Linked DNA regions of Tribolium castaneum. The protein of the gene in region 4 interacts with the protein of the main gene of each other region in a pairwise test. Links are inferred from orthologs where the notes say so. Each region holds a gene or a part of one and is shown on either strand. Other genes may lie near its edges.

Region 1 (6,761 bases), on a different chromosome or scaffold from region 4:
ATTAGCTGTTTCACAACTATAAAAACGCCAACGTTGCATTTTCTCTCAAAATTAGCTATTAGAAATTATTCATGGACGTAAAAAAAGTAATATGGTAGCGCTCAGCTCCATTTGCGTGTGCGTCATCTGACATTTCTGTCACTACGTTTACATAGCAGGGTCATAGCGGTGACAAACTATCAAATATTTTTTGAGGTTACGAAGTGTTTAAATTATGAGTTGTTACAAAAAATACAGATTCACAAAACAAGAACTAATAAACGCAGAATCAAAAACCTAACGAAACGCAAATCACAAAACACAATAAACGAACGGAAAATACTTGCGATTAACACCGATAACACTTTTCGGACAACCATGCGACAACGACTATAATTTACTGTCAATGTCAGGTTGACAAATTCGTGACACTTTGACGGTGTTGTCGAAGTGCACATGTAAATTAATGTTCAAGGATACCACCCTTAGATAGCTCTTAGCTGTTTAAATTTGCATTGTTTTTGATAATTTTTTTATAGCTTTGTGTTGGTAATGAAAAAATGAAATTGATGACGCACACGCAAATCGAGCTGACCGCCACTATAGCTAATGTAATTTATATTTTCAATGAGAGATCTAATCATTAATAAGAATAACTATTTTACATTTTTGTCAACCTTACTGAAAAAAATTATTTGTTAAAATGCGACGATGGCATTTTTATAGCTTTGAAACAGTGCAAAAAAAGTTACATCGTAATAAGACACACTACGATGTAATTCTTTTTTAGACGCTTGTTGTAGCAAATAAGGAAGGCTAGGCAGATGATAAATATGTATTTGTTATGCATTAACGGAAAAAATAATTTCCGTCTTGTTCCAAAAACAATTAATTTTAAAACAATAAACAAATAAAACACTATTTGCGTCAATAGAAAATTTTGCTGTCAAATATCTTAAAAGCATTTGAATGTAGTAAATATCTGTTTCGTGTAAAAAATTTAACACAAGATTTATATTCCAGTAAAGAGTTTCTCATTGGTTACATCAACACAAATTGCATTTGAAGACACCATGGCTAAAATAGGGAATGTTTATGCTGTTTAAAATCGTTGCTAAAACTGAAGCTGCGAACTGCTACATAATACCTAATATAAAAATTGAACTAAAATACAATGACTTCACTTTCGCTTGGCTTCACCTAAAATGTTGAACATTTTTTGATAACATGACTAAAGATACACAAAAATGTAATGAGACACAATTAACATCACATATTTAAAGACGCACCCACCTTTTCGTCACTACAAATTAGAGCACCTTAAACTGTCTTTAAACTATTGAAAATAAAGGTATAACGTCTAATAAAAGTCAGAACTAATTTGAGTTTAACTCTAATAAGGGTCGGATTATAGAAATCGAATAAAAACTTAATCCAAGATTAATCTAATTCACATAAAGTTTACTTTGCAGTGAGCGTCAATTTAAGGACAAATTTGATCACAATTAAAGGTTCTGTAAACTAACCATAATATACAAGGTGAGTCCCCTAAAAGTATGTAAATAATGCATGTGAATGTTGGCAGACTTTTTCTACAATTCCTTACAGTTGTTTCTCGTGTATTTTTCATTATCTCAAGCCATTGTCATTATACAGGGTGATTCAAAAGTACCGGAAAATCTCTCGGGTGCTGATAAAGAACATCAAACTGAATTAAAAGTTCCTATGACAAAAAATTGTTTAAGCCTTTTTTCACAAGATATAGCTCTTCAAAGTAAAATTTTTAAGTTATGTTTTTGGTGGTTCAGATCATATTTTTTGACTTTAGTTAGATCAACAATTAATGTCTTATGGGAAACAAAAACAACAAATTGATACCGTTGCTAAGGAAAACAAATTAAACAATACATCAAAATTAAGTTGCTTGGAAAAAATCTGACTATCCACCACCCTGTATTAATGTATCCTTTACTTAACTGTTTATTTAATGTGGTAAAACATTCAAAGCCAAAATTTCGTAAGGCATTTATTAAACTTGTTATTGTATGATGCTTTACACCTGACCCTCAAAAAAAAGATCCTTAGTTTCATTTTACGTTATAATAAATCGTTTTAATTTTTATGAAAAATATTTAATTCCTAACAGAAGTATTCAGAACCAAAATACCTAACTACATTAATTAATTTAAATATTAATTAAATGAAATTTTATTATTGTAAAAAATACACAAAAAATACGTAAAAAAATGGCGCTATAAAATTACTAGTTTCTTAGTTTTTAATTCTGACTGGAACGGCGCCATCGAGTGATAATAACCATCACTATACCTTGTCAAATAAAAAATCTACTTTTTAATTTGATAACGTTAAATGCAAATTTTGCGTGTTTACCATTTTACACGACACAATTATTTTGCCAAATGAAGCGTCAACTGAGTAAATTACCACACAAATGCAAAAAACTACTAACACACTCACCTTGTATAAATTTTAACATAATACCAATTTAAATTCTTGAAAAGATGCAATATAAATTACAGAAAAATAGTATAAGTATAGTATAAATTACACAAAAAAAGTTTTATAAGTCTATAAGCACGAAATGTTTTAGAGCACGACGAAAGACTGCTCCAATAGAATAAGTGCCACAATTAAGTCTTAACGAGTGTAATATACTATTTTTTCTGCTTTCTATTTTTGTGTTTGTGTTTAGTTTAACTTATCAAAAATCTGTCCAAACTATTTCCTCTTAATTTTGTCAATTATTCAGGCTTTATCAATAAACGACTTGATGCTGTTGACAAATCACACACTAAATTACAGTGATGACTGATGACATCCAGCTCAGCACTGCCAATACAACTCCTAAAAACTTACTAAAAGGAGTTGCACAAAAGTTCTCTTTGTGAAACTATGAATATTTTGTGAACCAAAGTAGAAAAAATATATTTTAAACAATTAGATTTCTGATCGAAGAGTAGGAGACTTAAAATTAAGTTGGCAACACTATAATAGAGGATCAATGTACTTGATTCACTTTTTTCAAGAAAAACGCCTCCAAAAAAAAATTGTATTTAGTTTAACAAATGGTAACAGTGACTTTGATTGTATGTATGTACATTTATTTAAATACTTGCATCTGTTATGCAATGTTGCCAACTTGATTTCAAAAAACAAGTCCAGTGTAACTATAAATTTAATTGGCGTAAGTTACCTGCAAAACAAGTCAGCATCGTTGTGGTCTTCTTTATGCAAATAAACTAAAAGGAACCGTAACTCTCGTTTAGCATCATTAAGGGCATGCGTGAAAGTTCCCTGGTAAAAAACTGGATGGCAATCTCCATACTTCTCCTGGTAAAGATTAATAAACCCAACAACATCATCTAGCGGATTAGTCGCTAAAACAACCCCCAATTACGCCAAAAAACACCTCAATAAACCCTCCCTTACGCCTTTCGGGCTCGAACCGAATCATCCTCCTCCCCAATTGAAACAGGGCCAAAATGGTACTATAGCAAATATTGTAGAAAAAATTAAACATAGCTTTGGCAAAACCCAGAATGCCGCCACCGCCCCCATCCCGAGGCATCGAATAGTAAATGTGTTGCCCCAAAAGGTCGCTCACAACCGCCGGCGGTCTGCTCTCCGTGGCGTAAATCGAAGGTCTGCCCTCTCTGATATTGAGCTGCTCCTGGACGGCCACCTCCAGGTTCCACTGGTGCCTCTGCAGCACGTCGCGGCATATCGTCATGTCGTCGATGCCGGTGAGGTCTTGCAGCTGTAATACTTTCTCGGTTTGCTCGCTCGTGAGCCCCAAACCAGCGTTGTCTCCGAGGTAATTCATTGTGAAAACACAGCGCGGCCGGGATAATCACATGTGCACATAAAAACGTGGAATTTTTAGATACGGTGCGGTGTCACACTGCATAAATTACAAATGCGTGAATTGATACACTTATTGAGCATTACACTTATTTTCGAAACGTCACTTTGTCTTGAAAGTTTCCACAGAAAATTGGGGGAGTCTCGGCGCTACCGGTGAGCGTTGGCAGCACTGCGCGAGTGTTTTTCGAATTTATTAAATTTTGAATCTTCCCAATTGTCCCAAATCCCCTTTTACCAACGTAAAACACCCCATATTTCAGGTAATTCGACTAGTTAATTATATTGACGGTTTTAATGACATGAGTATTGCTGGTTGCCTAATAACTGTTTCAAAAGTATAAAAACACCAACGTCGCATTTTTTCTCAAAAAATATTAGTTGTTTCAAATCTATAAAAACGCCAACGTCGCATTTTACCAAATTCTTTTTTTAAATAAGCTTGACAAAATTTCAAAACAGTTATGTATTAATGATTAGATCTCTCATTGAAAGTGTTAATACATTTCCTATTATTATGTGCATGAATAATTTATAGCAGCTAATTTTGAAAGAATTTTGAGACAGCTAATAGCTGTTGTAAATTATTCACGCACTTCAAAAAAATAATGTAGTTTATAGTTTCAATAAGAGATCTAATCATTAATAAGATAATAAGTATTTTATAATTTTATCAATCTTATTTAAAAAAATTATTTGGTAAGATGCGACGTTGGCGTTTTTATAGTTTTTAAACAGCTAATACATTATGGGATTCAAATTAAACTATATGCAAATTAATATTATTTAACACTAAAAATTAAATATTAGTTTTGCTCCAATTGTTCTATAATTTTAGTTTTGAATTTTTAATTCCTAATTTTCTCTGCGTGCACGCCTATCAACGCGGCTCAATGTTAGCCAATTGCAACCTGATATGGTGATTTCGATGAATTCAAATTTCATTGATCAAGTAAAGAATAGTTAAATATAGTTAATTTTTTTTTTATATAATCAACTGTCAGTGTCACAATTTTGTTAAAGACCAGACTATATCACCCTGTGCATATGTAGAAAAACATTATTTAAAGTATTCTTTTACATGAATCATCAGACCAAATAAACAATAATTATTATAATTATAAGAATACTATAAGCACCTACTGGAGAAAATCCATTTTGAGAATTACCAGTCTACTTTGTAGAATGTCAAATTTTGTACATACAGGCTGTCTATTTTTCAAACTCCACCAGGGTATCTCAATTATTATAAGAGATACGTGGTCGGTTGCGCATTTTTATGCTGAACAATTATCGGAAGGAAAATTTTATGCGTCATTTTTAGTTTCTGAATTATTCAGAAAAACCACAAACTTGTAAATTTTGTTTTTAATTTTTCAAATGAAAACTAGAAGAACTACATTCGGTTCACTTTCATAAAAATCATTATGATGGAAATTGGGTACTCTTAGCATTAAGTTTTATATGAGTTGTCGTGGTAACAGGTTAGTTAATTCCACTACAATGGTTTTTATGAAAGTGAATCAAAAGTAGACGTTTTTAAGGACATTTTTCAGGCACTTTTTTACAAAAAGAACGTCTACGCTAGGCGGAGCCAATGCGTACTTGGTCGAGTGGGGAGAATGAGCAGTGGCGTATCAAAAAACTATCCTATAGGAAAAAGGGGTTTGAGTTTTAAACTTTTTATTATTTATTATTTCCTGTATTTAATAATAGCAATATGAGATAATAAGACATCACACATCTGATTCCTACACGTTAGTTGTTAATTTCATATAAACATAAAGCAGAGATGTCCAATAAATAACAAAAACACAATGTGAATGAGTAAAAACGTACAAAAAAGATTTCTTATGTTACCTTTACCATTAATGATATTGAATCGTTAAAAATTACGATGAATTCTTGATACACGAAAATACACACCACACCATTGCTCCATGGACTCATCCGCGACAAGTTTTCATCTCTGCGCACTCCCACCACCGTGGACGTTCTGTCATTTTCATGACTCTACTTATATTTTTCAAACGTCTTTTTGTTCCTGATTAAAAACGCCATCGTCGCATTTTACTAAATTTTTTTTTAAACAAGATTGATACAATTTTAAAATAGTTATTAATGACTGACTAACCTTTAATTGAAAATGTGTAAATTATATTAGCCGTTATTTTTTGAAGGGCATGAATAATTTATAACAGCTAATTTTGAGAAAAAATGAGACGTTGCCGTTTTTAAACTTGAAACAGCTAATACAACATAATTTTCAAGAAAAATTTAGAAAAGAATTTAAACATGAATCTACAACATATTACATAATTATAATACCGTGGAATCGAAAATTAACTGAATTAAAGCGAACCTTGCAAGGGAAGTGTAACTTTGGTCACAATTATTTTCAAAATATGGTGTTGCAAAAGACAGTAAAGGAGACTACGGAGATGTCCAGAAATACTGTTACTGAAAAATTTAGGAGACCACTGATCAATACAGAATACTAGAAATTATGAATATCAGTTTCCTTTCTTTTGCGTGCACTTCCAAGTGTAATGTGGGTCTAGCTGATTCAAAACTATAAAAACGCCAACGTCGCATTTTACCAAATTATTTTTTTTAATGAAATTATAAAATAGTTATTAATACTTAGATCTCATTGAAAATATAAATTACATTAGCTGTTATTTTTTTTAAGTCCACGAATAAGTTATAACAGCTAATTTTAAGGGAAAATGCAACGTTGATGTTTTTATAGTATTGAAACAACTACTCCACTATTGATTGTGACATTGACAATTCTACAATTCACAGAAACAGAGTACACATTGTTTTTTGTTATTAGCACAGTTATTAGTGTTTTTTTTACAATAAATGACTGTTTATTTTTATATGTTTCTGATACC
Region 2 (6,585 bases), about 2.7 Mb from region 4:
AATTATATCTCGTTCGCTCCAGGCTTGACGTTGCGTCGTCACGATCCACGAAAAACTTGGCCTATTAATTTCCCCATTTTAACTTGCAATCACTTTTCTTTTATTGATTCATTCCACTTAGGACATTATTTATGCAAAGGTCGGGCCTGGGAGTGCGCAAGTTAGTGCTCCTAATGTACTAGTCTGCATTCAGATCGGTGTTCTAGCGTTATAGTGGTAATTAACGTTGTGGTTACCGGTAATCAGTCTCGAACCACTTCGGAACGACTCTTCTGGGATTCGCATTAGTTAACAGCCACTATGTGTACCAATTTACCAAGCCTATATTAAGAGAATTAATTCACAGGAATTGCCAAAAATGCCGAGAGATGCTAGAATTATGCAAAACGGCTAACTTACCTACGCCAATTCATCACATTCGTAACAACTAATTACTAATTATTATTATTTAAATTAAAAAATCAACAAATCGATAAATAAGAAGTTCGCGCTGTGTAAGTTTTTCTTAGGATGTTAACAATGTTAGGTCGAAAAACCGTTCAAAATATGATTTTATCCTTGAAAAAGGCTGCAAAAATGTCTTACCCGAGGTCTTACCCAAAATTACCCAAAGAATTTGCTTGCAAAACCGTTTTTATTTAGGTCGAGTAGTTGTCGAGTTATGATATTTTTATTTTATAAATTCAAAAACTATACCTAATCAAAGCCAATCAAAAAATTTGGCGGTTTAAAAAAAATCCGTGCGACTTGTAGTTTATGAGTTTTGTCACTTATTGTCCTTCAAAATTTTTAAAAAATTGGTAAAAATTAATATAATTATTTTTTTCACACACTCAAAAATTTTAGACTCAAAATAATTTTTATTAAAAAAATTAATTAAGCTTCTCTTTAAACGAAACTATAACTAGAATCGTTATCCAGTTTTTATCATTCGCTTGATGGTAATTTAATTTAAGTCTTAACTGGACAATGATTAGCGTAACCCAATGTAAAAAAATCTGAGCATTTAATTGCGAAGTAAATTAATTTATTCACTGCTAGAAACTGGCGCTAGGGCTGCAACCAACAATACACACGACATGTGCAGACTGCGGGGAGGTTTTTTCGGTTGCATTTTTCTCATTTTTTTAAAGGTGGTGTGGAACATTTAAAGACAGAGTAATACCAGGAGTTTATGAAACAGTTTCTTAGGAGTTACTCTGTTGGCAAAAGGAAAATCTTTGCCTCCTGAATAGGTACGAGTACACTTATGTAAAATATTGTTAATGTGTTATGAGAAAATAAAACAAGCAATAAAAAATTCTAAGTATTTTATTTACATCAAGAAGTACATAACTAGTGAAAAATATTCCAAGTAAGTAATAAGATAATTTACATCTGCTGGGTAGAATTACCGTTCCAGGTATTATTCTCATCATCACTATCGTTTTTATTGGACAAACGATGAATATTCCCCTGCCTTCTAATCACTGTTGTTTCGCCACCCCTTCGAACTTTTGGTTGCCCCCTAAAACAATTCCTCAATAGTACAGGCAGATTTTTTTAGGCCCTAGATTAAGATTGCAATAAAAATATAACTCAGGATAACATAAGTAAAAAAAATGGCAGCAAGCCATGTTTTTTTGACGTATGACATCCACAGCCTTCTTGATGAGTAACTTGAAGAATAGTAAAAATTGTTAACTTCAGTTATAAATCTTAAGAAGAATAACAAACCTGTGATCACTAGATGACGCTTCAGCGGCTCGCTTATTATCGTTGCTAGTAGATGGCGCAGGAGCCGATCCAAACACAAAAGTCTTCAAATAACCCAAAAGAGTCAAAATCGGGGTAATCAAAGTCCACAAAAATCCTGTAAACCCTCCTTCTGTGTTAGTAGCAACGACTCCCCTATTAACCGGCAAGATCAAAATAACAGCAGTTGGAACAAGCCCCAGTTGCAACAACGTTTGACTATTCTCAGCTTCAGTAAATTCTCTTCGAGGGAAAGTTGTGGAAAGTGTGTAATTGCTAAACGGTAGATGCAAATTAGCTTTAATGTGAGCATGGACACTTGCTAGCGTGTCACTGCTCGAAAAATCGTTCGTTGCCGTGCTGCCATCTGGCATTCGGAATTGCAATCTGGCTGTGTTTGTGTTGACAGGTCTTGGAGATGACTGCGATTGCGATGAGTGAGCTTGTGGTTGAACTGTGGCTGTTGGAGAGAATTTTGCCGCTCTTTCAGCCTTGTCTTGAGCGATTTGAGCCAAGACTCGTTCACGAGCCGCCTGACTTTCGCGCTTTTCTCTTTCACGTTCTTCAAGGACTTGCTTCAGCTCTTGGTCCTCCTGCCAACGTTTCAACTGTTGCACGTTTTGGCCCATTTTACGACGCTCAAGCTCCTTCTCGCGCTCTTTCTGCAAGATGTTACGCCATTATTTCACTGAGGATTTTGAAGTTACAAGTGTCAAATGGACTTCAATTTTGACAAATTAAGACCAATCAATAGTTTTCGAGAAAATTGCAAATAAAAGCAAAAATTGGTCAAATTTTGAAAAATTCATAACTTAAAAACTACTGGGAATTTGGCGATTTTCTTGACACCAATCGATTCTCCGGATCATTTTACATGAGACAGAACCAAAATATTGTTGTTTTCGTAGCTGAGTTATGAAAACATCGTTTGTTTTATGAAATGTTGCCAACTTAAATTCAGCCACACATTACCTCAAACTCCTCCTTTCTTTTCTCTTCTCGCTTCAGTTCAACCAACTGCTTGGCCCTTTCAACCTTTTCTTCAACTGTTAAATCCTCTTTTCCTGCCACAGCTTGCTGACTGGTTGAAGGCGTTTCGTCTTTTTTCATGGTGCAAACGTCGTTTTCGCACACAACATTTTGCGCCTGTTCTTTGGTGATAAAATCTTGTGATTGTGAAGCAATCGGAGAAAGTCCGCCTTTTTGCAGAATCGAGTTGAGTTTTTCTTGAAAAGTTTTAACATCATTTACTTCAGTCACAATCTCAATAGGCACTCCTTGCTTCCCAATAAAATAAACCGAAGGGGTTGGAACTTGCTTATCTGACTGAGTTAGGGACAAATCAATTAAAAGTATCAACAAAACTTGGATACTACAAAAAAAGGATACAAATTTGACTAAACTGCTGATAAGGTACAGAGTCGGCTTCGATCTTGATTGCCACAAAGCTATCGCTTCCTAATATTTTAACGATTTCCTCCTTGTCGATTAATTCGGTTATTTGCGCTGACTTATCGTCTTTGCCTAAAAACGGGCGAAAAACGACATGGAGAGGTTAGATAACGTTTGCGTTTCTTACCGTAAACGTAAACTACGAATATTGCCTGTTTGGCTTTCGAAGTGACGATTGCTTGGGCGATTTCACCTTTAAACCAGTTCATTTCGATTAAAACTATTTTTTTTTAATAAAAAATGAGTGTTTGTGACAACTGACGTGTTACATTGACAACTGTCATGTGGCGCTAGGTGCATAGAATATGCTAGGTGTCACAAGCAACGCGCCAAAGTTAAATTTTACGAACAGATTTGGACAGAAAATGTGGCGCTAATTAGCTAAACATCTATGGGGTGTTCAGTGCTATAACGGAAAAAGTCCAGTTTTAGTCATTTTGAAAAACGTAAATTTTTGAAACCACCTCTAAAGTGGCCGAAATAGCAAATAAACAGGCAAAATGCTCTTAAAACTTTATTTTGGGTCGGGTATTGAAAACTGTTCTTTATTAGTCTAACGGAAACCATGGTACAAGGTACCGCAGACATTTGTATCCCGAAAATGCACTCTTCAGTGGTGTTTCCTTCTCAACGGTGCACATCATGACGACTTTATCCACTAATTCGTCACTGTGCACAGATTGTCTAAGCCTTTCCTTTAAAAGATTACTATTAAAAGTGCCTTTGTCTGTCATTAAATTCGTTTTGGTGAGAATGCAATGAGCCATTTTTGCTATTTCAGAATCTTTGATTCTTTGTCCACCTAGCGCAACACAATTTGCTGTATCAGGATTTTGCCCTTCATTTTCAAGAGCAGTGAGTGTCTAAAACAATAAATTTTAACTAAGATTAATAACGAAACAACGATTTTCTTACCGGGATTAGAACGACGACGGTTATTAAACAATAAATTTGTTTCATCGCGGTTTACAATAAATAAGCGGAACAGCCCGTCCGTAGCTTTTAAATATTCAAGTTGGTAAAATTAGCACTTTTATACTGGCCATTACAGATTGCAATCAAGATTGCAGCAAATAAATATGGGATATTATTATTTAACTGAATAGCGATAGAGTCACAAATGACTTATTAACTAGGAAAACTATAGTTTTTTATATGCAATAACAGGTTCAATAAAAATTTAAAACAAGATGTTTCAATGTTCCAGCTTAGACTCGCACAATTTGCCAAAAAAATCTTCGTGGTAGGAATTACATTAAAGTTAATTAAAAATGAAAAAAAAACAAATTAAAAAGTGCTATTAAACAACTATCCTGGCCAGATAATTTGTAATATTTAATATACAATGTGTTCAAAAATGGTTGTTCATCAAGTCGACTATGGAATTCAAACTCAATGTGCCGCTTCATTCACAATACAATCCAACCCTTCACATAAAAATTATAGAGCGTATTTCTTCTGTGTAGGTATAAATATGCAGACCGTAATTACAAAAACAAAATAATGCAACACAAAACATAGCACACTGTACTATAATTAATTAAGAATACATTAAATGTACTGTCTCGCAGCTAACACTGTTTCAGTAATTTTTTTCAATTAGTTGCAACAAAATTGTAAAAAATTTCACATTAATTTAATAATAATAATAATAATAATAATAATAATAAAATAATGTTATTTCCAAGCAACTCTGTTTATAAAAATTTTATTTTATTTCAACAATGTTTTACCTACACAATAATCATAACGTGTAAATGTTGACTTAAAGTTAGGCAGGAAATGGTCCAATTTTTGTTTAAATCGCCCAGTGGCGTCCATTAAGGCTGATTTAATATCGCTGTGGATTATTATTGACGACGTTTACTGCACATTCGAGCGGCGCCTAACTCGACGGTGGCGCCGCGACGACGGTGAGCGTCCAAATCATCCGAAATAAGCTGTTTTGCTTGGCCTAATGTGGGTTTTACTTGTGCTGGAACACCACTCGAAGAATTTACAAAATTTGCCAACGTAAAACAACAATCACTTTTTCTAGACACTGCTACACCCCAAGTAAGTGGAGACTTTAGCTAATTTAGTGCATGCAAAATTACAATAGAAAATTTTTCCAACAACGGACAGCTTCGTGAAAAACCATCTTCCGGGTTTGAATTCCTAGTTAGATTTCTTATCAAATTTTGGTGACGTAGTCGTGGTTACAAGGGATGTTCGCAGTAGACAGAGACACCCTTGGGTCTGCAGATCAATACGGGGCGTAATTTTACGCGTAGTCACCCCACACGTTCGGACTTGGAAAACTATTTAAAATTAATCGCTTCATTTTCACACCGGAAGCTATCATCGTAAATTTTGCAAATTTACGAGGGCTTTTTACTGGGTTATTAATTTTCCGATGGTTTGCGAAAAATTTGCTGAGCTCCTTTTTTTGTTGAAAGTTGAGTGGATCTGATTTTTAAGGGATGAATCGACAGTTCGGTTCGAGAGCTGCTGGTTGGAGTGCACTTGACCGAAATGCCAATCAGGGTGAAAATTTGGAGCTTTTACAAGCATTAAATTCAGTTACCTCATGAAATATAAATTTGGTGCACGTGTTTTCGGTGTTATCGACTGATGAAAATTGGGGGTGGGGTCGGGTTTACTACTTAATGTTTCACAATTTTTGTAGTAAAACTGCAAACTTTTTATTTTTTTTAATAAAGCTTCAGCTGATTCAGAAATAAATAAAATATTGAAGTAAAAAAAATGAAAAAAATTAAACGATAGAAGATAAAGGCACTAAAAACTAACCAAAAAAAATCAATACAGTAAAACCTCTCAACAACGGACACCGACGAGGAACTTTTAATTGTCCGTTGTGGAGAGGTGTCCGCTAATGGGAGATGGAAATTATGGTATCGGTTTTATTACGTTCCTACAAAAATGCCCGTTGTGAAGAGTGTCCGTTATTCGGAGATGTCCGTTAAGGAAGATTTCACTGAATTGCACAAAGATTAGCATTTTCTAATAACTGTTTCTCTTTTTAATTAATTTCAATTAATTAAAAATATTAATAGTATTAATAAAATTACAAATATTAAAATAATTTTTAATTAAAATTTTGCATTTTTATTTTAAAAAATTTTGAGCATTTAATATGACAACTAAACACAAAAAATATAAGCAAAAAACAATTACATTTTTTAAAATAAAAGGTTGAGAAGTTGTTAGAAGGTTTAGTTGCGTACTGTAAACCAGTTAAAAATAAAATAAAAATTCCCAACTTTTGTTAACCTTGGGCTCCAACAAAAGCTCTCGTTATCACGAGCCAAGTTGTCACGTCCAAGCAAACTTTGTTTACTCCACTTCTCACGTTGCGTAATTTATTTGGCGTTATTCAGGTGTCCGATCAATACTCCG
Region 3 (5,402 bases), on a different chromosome or scaffold from region 4:
AAAAGTCTGAACTGAATTATCTCCTTAAATTTGTAATACACAGGATTCAGTCTTGGGTAAACATTCCAACTCGATAGAAAATTTAATTAGGGAGTGATTGCAGTTGCCGCACACTTTAACACACACCATGGCCCAGCAAGAGCGGCCCGAGTGGCTAACAGACAAGGAGCTGAGTTGGCGGGCAAACCAGCTATTTTTCGAACACAGAGACATGTCCGTCATTGAGGTGAACCTAAATAACGAGTCGTACACGAAACTGTACCAATTTCTCGCCGATGTTTTAACAATCCAACACAACGTTGCGATTTTTCACGGAAGTATGTCCAAATAATTGTTGTTTCTTTACCATTTGTTCGCAGTTGAGTCGCAGGAATACGGGGCTGCGGAACTTATGATTAGAGACTGCATGCACGACCTGACCGAGTTGAAACTTTGCGTTGATTGTTACCGCCATAGTAATGAGAAAATTAACGCTAAGTGGTTCTGTTTGCCGTGCAGAGTGCCTCATAAGTTAGTTTGGGCCAAACAAAAGGGCTACCCCTATTGGCCTGCTAAAGTGGGTAGATGGTCGCTTATATGTGTTTAGTAATTCCGCGTTTTAGGTGATTCAAGAGACGAGCACGCATTTTGATGTTAGGTTTTTTGGGGGTAAATACGAAAGGTCGCTTCTGATCAAATCGTTAATTAAACCGATTGAAACGCCGCAATCGAAGTTGCAAATAAAGACGTCTTCGGCGTTTAACAAGGCGGTGGAGGAGTTAAGGTTCCATCAGCGCTTGATGCAGAACCCTGACGAGCTCCAGAAGTTGATCAGTTCGTCGAAAAACAGGGTCAGGAGTTTAAATAAGCAGCGAATTTCGACGTTGAAGAAGTCGCTTAATAGTTCACTGGAAGTGAAAAAGAGAAATTCATTTGAAATGAATGATGTTTACAAGTTTGAGGATAATCCATTCGGTCAGCAAAATTTAAGCCTAACGCATAAACGTAAAAGCAGTTTTTGTGAAGGTAATTTCGTTGTCTTGTGTTACTTGCGTCTTATTTGATTAATTAGGAAGTCCCGTGTCGAAAAAAAATTCAACTAGTTCCGTGGAGAAAAACGAGGAAGTTCACAATACTTCCGATAGCGTTATACACATATCAGACGGCGAAGACGATGAGTATCCCTATTACGATTATTCATCGGTTTCTAATACAAAGTAAATATGTGTGTCAGGTGTTTCCGAGTTTAATTTTTTTATTGTTAGCTATAATGGTTCATATGAGCAAGTTTCAAGTTCCACTGAAAATTACAGATTCCAGGACAGAAGCCAGGAAAATGGGATGCAGCAACTTGATCACCCTTATAGTGATTCAGTTGAAAAGGTTTGCTAATAAGCGACGTTACAGTAACTTGCTCACGGTTGGTTTGTAGATGAGAAGAAGACTTGAATGTGTGAGTGATAAAAAAGAGCTTATAAAGTGTGCAATGGACTGTATGCAAAGTGAGATTGATCAAATTACAAATAATCACAATGATCATTTGAAAAGGTTGTTTGAGTCCCACAATGCGCAGATATCGGAGATTAAGAAAAAGCAATGGGTAAGAAAGATTGGCCAAAATGAGCGGTTGTAATTCATTCATTTCCAGTGCTATAATTGCGAACAGGAAGCCATTTATCATTGTTGCTGGAACACGGCGTATTGTTCCCAAAGTTGTCAACAACAGCACTGGCAAGCAGAACATAAAAAAGTTTGCAGGCGTAAGCGCTAGTTTCATACAAAAATTAAAAAATGTTATTTTGTGTATTATCTATTTTTATAGTTTGTTTATCCTCTAATATCATTATGTAGAGTAATGGGAACATTGGCGTAATTTTCATTGTTTTGGTACTTTTTAGGACCAAGTTACGAAAGTACAATTCTAGTTAACTTTTTAATTGTAGGCAATAACTTGAGTTGTAAGAGTTTATCACATAGTGTTGTTGAAACTTCCAAATCATTTTTAAACGTTGTATCACAATTGAAAGTTATGCCACTACTTCATTGTTTGTTCTTATTTTATGGTTTAAAATAGTATTGCTTATAAATTTTATGTATTTGCAACGGAAGATACAATAAATGGCAAACGACCTGTTCTTTTATCTGCAGCTTTGTTAAATTATATGCATGTACAAATAAAGCCCTTATTTCTTGGTGCGTTTTTCATTCATCAGTCACTTCCACAAACTCAACGTTTTGGAAAGCATTGGCAATATTATTGTGTTTCTCCAAAAACTGCAGCTCTTCCATTGATAACTGTTCCCCCAGTTGTCTCAATGCAGTTAATATTTCAGCCTAGAAAAATGAATAAGTAATCACGTCTGAAATTGCTAGGTAAATGACCTTTTGTCTGTTAGTAGCTTCATCACTCAATTTATTAAGTTTACACTCTTGCTCAATACTGGATAATCGTTCTCTCAACTGCTTTGGTTCTCTTTTGCCAAAAAGTCTGATAACCTCTGGCGTTTTAAACGCTTCTGATATGGCAGCTTGTGTGGCCTTGAAAAATCGTATTTGATTTTTTGAAAAAATAAAGAACTGTTTTTACAAGTTGTACGGCTCCGAGGGCACTAACAAGTGAGATATCGCCTTTGACTAGTTTCGATAAGCTATCGTTTAATTCCTTTAACTGATCCATCGTGTCCTGTTTAGTCTCCTCATATTCCTCCGGGTCTAAATCCGCTCTAAAAATGCAGTTTCATCATTCGGGAGCATTGAAACGCGGTGACGACTAACTTGCAATTTTCTAAATCTCCCAGTTGTTCGACTAGTCTGTCCAGTTGATTTTCCAAATTTTGTTTCAGTTTCGCGGTTTCGACTTTTCCATAGGAGGTCATTTTGGTTGATTTGCAACTCAATTACTGGAAATTTGCATTTTTTTGTAGGTTAGATCAATTTCTGGACAATGCCCGTTATTTTTTCAAGTGAGCGGTTGGGTTAACTTTCGACGTACGGCGTGTTTGGTGTTTTTGTTGTTGGTGGGGGTTAAGTGAGAGAGGGACGCCGGGCGTGCGTCTTTGCTAAGGAAAAATTGTTTTAGTTGTGTAATTTTCCGTTGGGTGCGCTAGGTGTGCTTTTCTAGCAACGTGAAAGCCGCGTGTCAGTTTTAATAAAGTTGTAAGTTTAATTTAAATTTGAAGAAGTGACATTGGTTAAATTCGAGTTCGCATTAAGTTCGGGAGTGTGGAGGCTGTTGTCCGAATAGTGCAAGCACGGCCCGGAGTGCGTCACGAAACTAAAGAAAACAATCATGTTTTTGGGTTAAAAGTCCGCCATCTTGAAACATATCTTAACCTTTGATTAGTAATAGTGGTAGTGTTATCTAAGTGACGATTTCGAAAAATCCAGCATCATCAACATCGAATTTCGGTCTTTGGGTGCGACGATGTTGCGAAGCTTGTGAACTGGCCGGAAATGTGTGTTGTGCTGTCAGTTCTGAACATATGCAGTCGCTGAGAACGGATACGCGGCGGCCTCTGTGAGGGACGCGGCGCCCCAGGGCTGACATGAGCGGCAACCAGAAGCAGACAGCCGGGAGGGGGCCCCAAAACCAGGCCTACTCCACCACACTGTATCCTTTGAGTTACGCCCATCTGTCACCCGACTGTCATCCCCCCTGTCTTAATTGTTGCTGGCGCTGCATTGTTTTGAGTAGAATGTGAACGCCAGGCTGGTAAACTTTCATTAGTTCACATTCACCTGTCTATGCAGGCCACCAACCGCAGTCATTACCAATCCATATGGTGTTCCACACAAATCACGCCCAATAATTACAATTCGCGATTTGTTTCAATTTCGAACTCGCGTGACGGGGCTCCAGCTTGTTGCATCACTATGTGAAAAGTGAAGTGGTGGCATTGGATGTCAAGCGAATTCGCTGCTCTTTCCCTGATTTAATTACATAATTGTGTGTCATATTGCCACGCACGATAAACGCAGGTAAGGTCAGGTGTGACTTCGCCCTAGTTCATTACCGACACCTCCTGGTTCGGTTTCGAGTGCCTTTTTACCAAATGTTTTTTTGCTGGGTTTTCCCCGAATTTTTTTAAAAATGACCAGTTGAATGCGATGGTTGATGGTTGATCCGGAGTTGTGGTTGCGCATGCGTTCCCATTGTTCCTGGCGGCGGAACCAGGAACCAAGTCCCCAATGTTGCCAGGTCTGGTGATCTTTCACCAGATTTGGTGACTTTGATGCCAATCTTGTGAAATTCTGTGATTTTTGGCAACGGAAAATTTTAATCTATTAATTTATTCTGGATTACCTTTTAGCATGGGACGTTCAGAAGTATTGCGGAACCGATAAGATAAGAGGGTGTTTTTTTGAGCATTTCCTCTCGAGACTTTACTAATCCGAGTGGAAAGTCTTTAACTTCTTTAATAAATAAGTAGAAAATGTAATGTTTATATTTTTAAGTTTCAAGCGTCCCAAAAAAGCATTACTTTGGGCTAAATATGACATAGCTAACATTGGTTAGCTAAAACCGCAATTATTTTCAAAATTTTCGTTAAAAGTAACCCGAAAATTTACTATTTGTTACTAGGATGCAAAAAAGCACCAAATTGGAGGGAAATGGTATTTTTTAGTCAGTTTCAGTCACTAATTTGTTCTTAAATTAGAGACCTTGCAAAAAGTCACAAAAATAAATCGATGCATGTTTCGTTTGATTTATTATCCCGGTTTGGATCTAAACTTTATCGGAAATAAGCTGAAAAATTAGGAAATTTTTTAAAAGATTAATTAGTTTGTTCAAAAAGTAATGCTTGTGTCCTTACCAGGAACAAATCTGGTAGTTTTTCGGCGCGGATCTGGTGTAGTAATTTTTTTGCGCTGGCAACACTGCAAGTCGCACAGTCGATACAATGGCGGTGTCGCCGAAGTCATAATTTTTTGACTGACAATCAAGTTTATGCTAAAGACAGAAACCTCGTGTTCGCAATCGAAAAAAATCGCCGATTTTTCCGTTTATTTAACAACGAAACGTAACGCGACAAGTTACCAGCACCGTACCATGTGATGATTGGTTTGCGTGGTGTTTGGTAAAACGCCCTTATCGATTTTTGGTGTTTGGTGCAGGGAGACGTGCTTCGCATGTCCCAGCTCCTCTTCGGGTTTTCTTGTTGTTGTTTTGAAAATCACCGAACGTGTTCAGAAACTCACCCCAATGCAGTTTCGTCGTACCAATGACTGTGCGTTTTCTTCTCGTAAGTCGGTGGTTGGAAAAGTGGTTGTGGTGGTAGTGAGTCACACGACATTATTATGTCGAAGAAGTTTGATGCTGGACAAAAGCCTGTATTGATGGGTTATTATCGTGTGAGGGGAGTGACTTGCGTGGGTTTTTGATGCGTTATTTTGCCCAACTCGAGTTATTTGTCGCGTGAATG
Region 4 (6,397 bases):
TTAGGAAAAATACTTACCTATTTCCTATTATTGATTTTTTTTTTTGCTCAAACGGAAAATAAAAGGCAAATTCGTCAAAAAAACTCGTGTTTCGTTAGAAACTTTAATATAGGGTGATTCAAAAGAGCTGTACAATCTCTCGGGTGCTGATAAAGGACATCAAACTAAATTACAAGTTCTTATGATAAAAAATTGTTTGAGGCTTTTTTCACGAGATATAGCTCTTCAAAGTTAAATTATTTGCATTAGGAATAGTCACAGATGGCAGCCCGATTTTTAAAATAAACTGGCGATCTTTTGATCTAAACACTTCAAGGATATCATCAGAAAACGTCTTCGTAACCCACCAAAATCTTTATTTCAACCCAAAAAAACTCTCGTCATTACAGAATCCTTTTTTATTATAATAATTCAAAACTATTTCACAAATGAACTCAAAATGACAATACAAATAAAAAAAGAGTGCACATTGAGCCTGAATATTTAACTGTATAAATCGTCTTCAGGATCATCTTGGAAGTTGCCCTGATCGCCTCCTGTCCCTCCTGGCGCAGCCGAGCCTCCCGTTCCCGACGGGAACCGGAAGTTAGTGCCAAAACCACGCGACTGTTGCAGCGTCTGCGCGAACATTTCATACTTCCTGATGTCATTATCCGACACCGATCTTCGGGCAAATCTCATCGCCTCCTCGAAATGGGCGCGAGTTATCTCCGGAACCGGATCATCCTCATCCAACTGAAACAATTTCACATTCTCATTAAATTTGTGTTTTATTGCAAGAAAAAACTACTCACATCCATTGCGCTGTTCGGGTTCATGGCCCTCTCGCGCTCCCGCCGAATCTCGGTTTCGATGCTTTGGCGAATCGCTAATTTACACGCCCTTTGACAGATTTCCGTCAAATCGGCACCTGAGAATCCGTGAGTCACTTTAGCTATGTAAGTAAGATCCACGTCTTTTGCAACGGGGGATTTACGCAGATTTGCTTTGAAAATCGCTTCGCGAGACTTTTCATCCGGCAGCGGGATATAAATCAATTGATCGAGACGGCCGGGACGCAAGATTGCAGGATCAATGATATCTAAAAATTAAAAAAATAATAGAAAAAAATCGATAAAATTGGCGGGTTAATCACCAGGTCTGTTTGTGGCTCCGATAATAAAAACGTTCTTCTTTGCGCCCATTCCGTCCATTTCCGTCAAAATTTGATTAATGACACGGTCGGCGGCGCCTCCGGCATCCCCCAGGTTGCCTCCACGTGATTTTGCTATCGAATCCAACTCGTCGAAGAAGAGGACGCAAGGGGCGGCCGATCGAGCCTAGAAAGCCAAACACACATTCGGAAAATATTATTAAATTCCTCTGTCTGCATGACTTGGCAATAAAAAAAAATTACATTATGTTTCAGAGGAGAAAATATTTTAATGCCGTAAATAACGTCATTTTTGTTCACGCGTTGGCAAGATTTTGTTACACATTACACAATGAACGCCATAATAATCTTTTTATTTTTTTAATCCCATTTTTTTTCAATTTTACTTAAATTCAGTGCGATTTTAATTACACTTCGTATTCAAATTTCAAGAGAAACAACAAACCTTATCGAAAATGTCCCTAACGTTGGCCTCCGACTCCCCAAACCACATCGTCAACAACTCCGGCCCCTTGACCGAAATAAAATTCGCTTGACATTCATTCGCTATAGCCTTCGCCAACAAAGTCTTCCCGCAACCAGGTGGTCCATAAAACAACACACCACGTGACGGTTGCATGCCAAACTTCAAGAACTTATCAGGATGCTCAACCGGATACTGCACCAATTCCTGCAATTCCTTCTTAACATTCTGCAATCCACCGATATCGTCCCACGTAATATTCGGCACTTCGACCACGGTCTCCCTCAACGCACTCGGACTCGACTTGGTCATAGCATAACGGAAATTCTCCATACTAACAGCCAACGAATTCAAAACCTCCGCATCGACTTGATCGTCATCCAAATCAATCAGATCCATTTTTTCGCGGATTTGCTGCAACGCCGCCTCCGAACACAACGACGCTAAGTCGGCGCCCACGTGACCGTGCGTCTCGGCGGCGATTTGCTCAAGATCAACGTCGTCGGCAAGCTTCATATTTTTGGTGTGAATACGCAACACTTCCAGACGTCCGGTGGCGTCAGGAATGCCAATATCTATCTCGCGGTCAAAACGACCGAACCGACGCAAAGCCGGATCGATTGAGTTCGGGCGATTTGTGGCCGCCATCACGATAACATGCGAGCTTTTCTTCATGCCGTCCATCAGTGTTAACAATTGCGAGACAATTCGGCGTTCGACTTCGCCGTGGGTTTTTTCACGTTTCGGTGCAATCGCGTCCAATTCATCGATGAAAATAATAGCCGGTGAGTTTTTATCGGCTTCTTCGAACGCTTTCCTTAGATTACTTTCGGATTCGCCGGCTAATTTACTCATAATTTCGGGACCGTTGATTAAGAAGAAGAAAGCACCGGTTTCGTTGGCCACTGCACGTGCGATTAAAGTTTTACCGGTACCTGGAGGTCCGTACAAGAGGATACCACGTGGTGGTTTCACGCCAATGGCCTTGAAGAGCGACGGGTGGCGTAGAGGTAATTCGACCATTTCTTTGATTTGTGCGAGTTGTTTGCGACAACCGCCGATATCGTCGTAGCCGACGGCGTTCAAGGCTTCCTCCTCTTCCTGGGAAAAACAAGATAGAAAAAAATATGATTGTCACTCACTTAATTGGATTAATTTTTATTACTTCTCGTTTGATCGGATCGCCGTCACAATGGATGACGGTATCGGGGGCGACGATACAATATGGTGACGGTTCCGTTTCCACCACTTTGAATTCAACGGCTCGCATGCCACCACGGACGATGAAAACGTCGCCTTTGTGGATTGGTCGATAAGCTTCGAGGAAGTATGGTTTTAAGTACACCTCGAAGAGATTTCTACAAAAAAATATAGTTTTTTTTTGTAAATCACAGTGACTATGTTTCGTGTTTTTGTTTAATTTAGTTGCTACGTCACAAATAAATTAAGAAACATTGCTCAATTGTTTGCCAATACAGACGTTACGTCAGTTTTATAAACATCAAAGAAAAAAAAACGATTCTCTTTATTAACAAACACGATTTATTTTAATACCTGAAATAAACATCGCAAAAACGTTGGCAGCCCGAAAAAATAAAATAAAACCAATAAATTTAAGCCGCAAAAAATTGTCAGATTTGTACCGAATTTTGACAAATTTTTATACCAAAATACACAAGATTGAGAAAAACATGCTAAGATAAATTTAAAACAAAATAATGAAGGGCAATCTGTTATTATGTCACTAATTAACATAAGTTGTGTGCTTTCCTTGCAAATTATTTTGAATTGTTACTTATTCAGTCACTATTTAAATAAATAAAATAACAAATAAAATACAACAGTGAATTGAATTTAAAAAGGAATAGAACCAGTTTTCTATTTATGTCTACAGTCTGTCTCTTTTTACTGTTATAGGTACCAAAAAACTGTGAGGAACAAAGTTGTAAAAATTATACAAAAAAAATGTGCTTAAATCTTGAGAAAAAAATTTGTATTATCTTCAATGAAAAAAAAACTTGGTAGGTTCGGAGACTTAAGAAATATTGACTTTTTTCGGTTATTTTGTAATCAAAAGCCGATTACTATAAAAATACGATAATAGTCGCACAGTAGATAGTCATAATAATGAGTCACTAGCGATCAAATTGTGGGAAGTACCGATCAACATTCATTGGAATCACCGGATGTATAAGGAAAACAAGTATAATTTATTTTAATAATTTTTCGAGAAAGTTGTAGAAAAATAATGCGTGTTATTATTTGATAAAATCGTATGACTCAAAAATTACAAGAACGATCCCCAAATAATTGCGATAATGTGACAGTCATGTCATGACAGTTCAGCGACTCCATGCCAGCTAAGCAATTGGAGGAATTCAAACCGCGCGCTGTGGGCGCGCTCTCTCATTGGTAACCGGCAAACGATCCGTCTTTCCCATTGGCCACAGGACGGTTTCTTTTGTTTAATTACTTCTAGCCCCAGAGAGGGGCTTTTTCGTGGTAACTCACCCGACGAGCCCTTCGACCGTGTCATCGATGGGCAAAACGTGGATCCTCTTCCCGTATTTGACGTCGGGACAGGGCTGGATCCAGACGACGTCAGAGAGCCTAACCCGTAGATTATTCCTGACGATCCTGTTCATCCGGATCTTCTCATCGGGGCAGTTTTCGTCGGCCAGCACAATGCAGACGGTCTCTTTCCGCCGCTTCCCTTTCAGCAACACTGTATCGCCTCGGAACAGCATCAGCTCGTCCATTTTGGCCTGCGATAGCGCCACGACGGAGTTGTCGTCGTTGGTGGCCTCCTCCACCAGGAGTCTGTTGGGGCGGTCCTTGCGGCGCAAGATCGCAGTCGCCAGGTCGTCAGGACTGCAAGTTTAGCCAAAATTAACTATTTCCTGCCCCTTGGTGACATGGGCGAAATTCAGACGCCGGCCCTACCCACCTTTTACCCTCGGCCATTATTCAACGTTCGAAGCTTACACTAGACGAAAAAACCGAAACTTTTACTATTTAACACAGGCACAATCTAACGATCGGTTCTGAATGACGTAGCTTTTCTTTTGCTTATTCAGGATTTTGACAGAGGACAGCCAGGGGCCATCTTACCAAACGAGTAGCGACACCTACAATACCAGAAACGGCCAAACTGGCCCTAGTCGGCCCTATCGCCACAGGGGAACACGCCGAACGCGAAAAAAACAACACGATTTGGCACTTTTGACACGATTCGCCGCCGGAAACAGTCAAATTTGGCCAAATTTGACAAAACCAGTGTCAAGGCTAGCGCCGCCCTCTATGCCCCAACTTTCGAACAACGCGGTCATGTGACTTGCTGACTTGATCGAAACTTAATCAGTTGATACCGCTGATAAGGGTTTTGGCACTTGGCGGGACCGCTTTTATCACGTTATTTCCATCAAAAATCAGCAGTAAAGACCCGCGATAATTTAGCTAGATTCTGAGGCTTGGGGCAAAAAATGGGGGCGCGCCCTCTCTTGATACGACACGCAACTGTTTGACAATTTGACAAAAACAATAGTTTTTCACTTGTCAGTGTCATTTTGGATTTAAGGCTACAAATTAAAAAAATAGGATGTAAATATCGTTAGGTGTGCACTGGAACATTAAATCACCAAAATATTGATCGTGACAATGGCCGGGATCAAAAGTGAGTAATTTCCAAATTCAGTTATTAGTCATGCTTTAGTCTTGATATTTCACTAATTGCGCCTTTTTCATGTGCCCTGGCGATTGAGCAGCGTGAGTATTGGCAGCCCCCTTGTTGCCCCTTGTTAATTAGCGTTTGCAGATTGGTTACGTTGGCCTTTACGGGTTCTATAGGCATGACGATGGTCATCCTGGCCTGCAGCCTCCCTCAATACAAGTGAGTTGGCCCTACTGTAGCCTCAATTTGAGCCCCCGTTGCAGGTTATGGTGGCCTTTCTTCGTGGTTTTGTTCTACGTGTTGGCCCCCATTCCCACTCTCCTGGCACGGAGGTACACAGAGCACCAAGGCTCGAGTAATTCGTGTCTCGAGACGGCGATTTTTCTCACAATGGGGCTCATTGTGAGCGCCTTTGCCCTGCCGATTGTCTTGGCCAGGGTGGCTGTTATCCAGTGGGGGGCGTGTTACTTGACACTGGCCGGGAACGTGGTCATCTTTGCCACCCTTCTCGGGTTCTTTCTCACGTTCGATCAAGACGATTCTGATTATAATATGTGGTAGTGTAATAAACCCAAGATGTACTCATAACTATTTTACTTATTTAAATGTATGTAAGCTTAATCTTTTGTAAAGCTAATAGATAGGTTTCCCCAACAAAGTTGTTTCATTATAGTTACTTATAATACGAGTGCGAAAACACGTTTTCGTATAAAATGGTTTAAAATGTTACCGACAAAAAAATTGCAAAATGAGGCATATGCAGGGTGTCTCAGCAAGTTGGTAGTCCATTTATTGTCCTTTAAATAAACGAATATTTTTTACGAAAGTCATAGATATCACTAGATAATAACCCCCTGCATCACCTAAAACTATTTTCAAATATACAAGGTGCTTGAAAAATGAGCTATAGTACAAACTTGTTTTTTTAAATGGAACACTCTAAATTTTGGACGAATCTTTTCATACTCATGATTTTGATCAGAACTTGTGTTGGTCGATTCTGTTAAGTTTTTTGAATAATTTGATTTTTTTGAGTGCAAAGCAAACATTTCAGCATTTGAATGTCCCGCCAATTCGACTCACAAGGGCCATTTCCTTGTAAAAATATGAG

Evidence for each region.
Region 1: the proteins of TER94 (region 4) and Faf2 interact in binary tests that used the Homo sapiens proteins (3 or more experiments, as listed by UniProt). The link is inferred for Tribolium castaneum from reciprocal best matches to the Homo sapiens genes VCP and FAF2.
Region 2: the proteins of TER94 (region 4) and UBX domain-containing protein 4 interact in binary tests that used the Homo sapiens proteins (3 or more experiments, as listed by UniProt). The link is inferred for Tribolium castaneum from reciprocal best matches to the Homo sapiens genes VCP and UBXN4.
Region 3: the proteins of TER94 (region 4) and protein LZIC interact in binary tests that used the Homo sapiens proteins (3 or more experiments, as listed by UniProt). The link is inferred for Tribolium castaneum from reciprocal best matches to the Homo sapiens genes VCP and LZIC.

The regions. Positions count from the first base shown.
Region 1 is NC_087399.1:11,510,939-11,517,699, reverse strand, and holds the start of Faf2 (FAS-associated factor 2), read right to left. Parts: upstream 3,975-6,761; 5' UTR 3,824-3,974; coding exon 3,430-3,823; intron 3,378-3,429; coding exon 3,194-3,377; intron 1-3,193. UniProt on the Homo sapiens protein: Plays an important role in endoplasmic reticulum-associated degradation (ERAD) that mediates ubiquitin-dependent degradation of misfolded endoplasmic reticulum proteins.
Region 2 is NC_087396.1:24,042,244-24,048,828, reverse strand, and holds UBX domain-containing protein 4, read right to left. Parts: upstream 3,486-6,585; 5' UTR 3,396-3,485; coding exon 3,314-3,395; intron 3,259-3,313; coding exon 3,124-3,258; intron 3,057-3,123; coding exon 2,707-3,056; intron 2,397-2,706; coding exon 1,717-2,396; intron 1,508-1,716; coding exon 1,372-1,507; 3' UTR 1,294-1,371; downstream 1-1,293. UniProt on the Homo sapiens protein: Involved in endoplasmic reticulum-associated protein degradation (ERAD). Acts as a platform to recruit both UBQLN1 and VCP to the ER during ERAD.
Region 3 is NC_087398.1:12,805,905-12,811,306, forward strand, and holds protein LZIC, read right to left. Parts: upstream 3,003-5,402; 5' UTR 2,856-3,002; coding exon 2,755-2,855; intron 2,703-2,754; coding exon 2,567-2,702; intron 2,518-2,566; coding exon 2,362-2,517; intron 2,314-2,361; coding exon 2,182-2,313; 3' UTR 2,056-2,181; downstream 1-2,055. Other genes in the region: zinc finger MYND domain-containing protein 11, read left to right, coding at 1-56, 104-317, 360-556, 603-1,005, 1,052-1,196, 1,245-1,362, 1,412-1,579, 1,628-1,750; eukaryotic translation initiation factor 4 gamma 3, read left to right, coding at 3,525-3,589.
Region 4 is NC_087396.1:21,354,270-21,360,666, reverse strand, and holds TER94 (transitional endoplasmic reticulum ATPase TER94), read right to left. Parts: upstream 4,883-6,397; 5' UTR 4,581-4,882; coding exon 4,564-4,580; intron 4,488-4,563; coding exon 4,128-4,487; intron 2,975-4,127; coding exon 2,782-2,974; intron 2,718-2,781; coding exon 1,599-2,717; intron 1,320-1,598; coding exon 1,136-1,319; intron 1,082-1,135; coding exon 795-1,081; intron 736-794; coding exon 484-735; 3' UTR 383-483; downstream 1-382. Other genes in the region: leptin receptor gene-related protein, read left to right, coding at 5,465-5,505, 5,550-5,847. UniProt on the Homo sapiens protein: Necessary for the fragmentation of Golgi stacks during mitosis and for their reassembly after mitosis. Involved in the formation of the transitional endoplasmic reticulum (tER).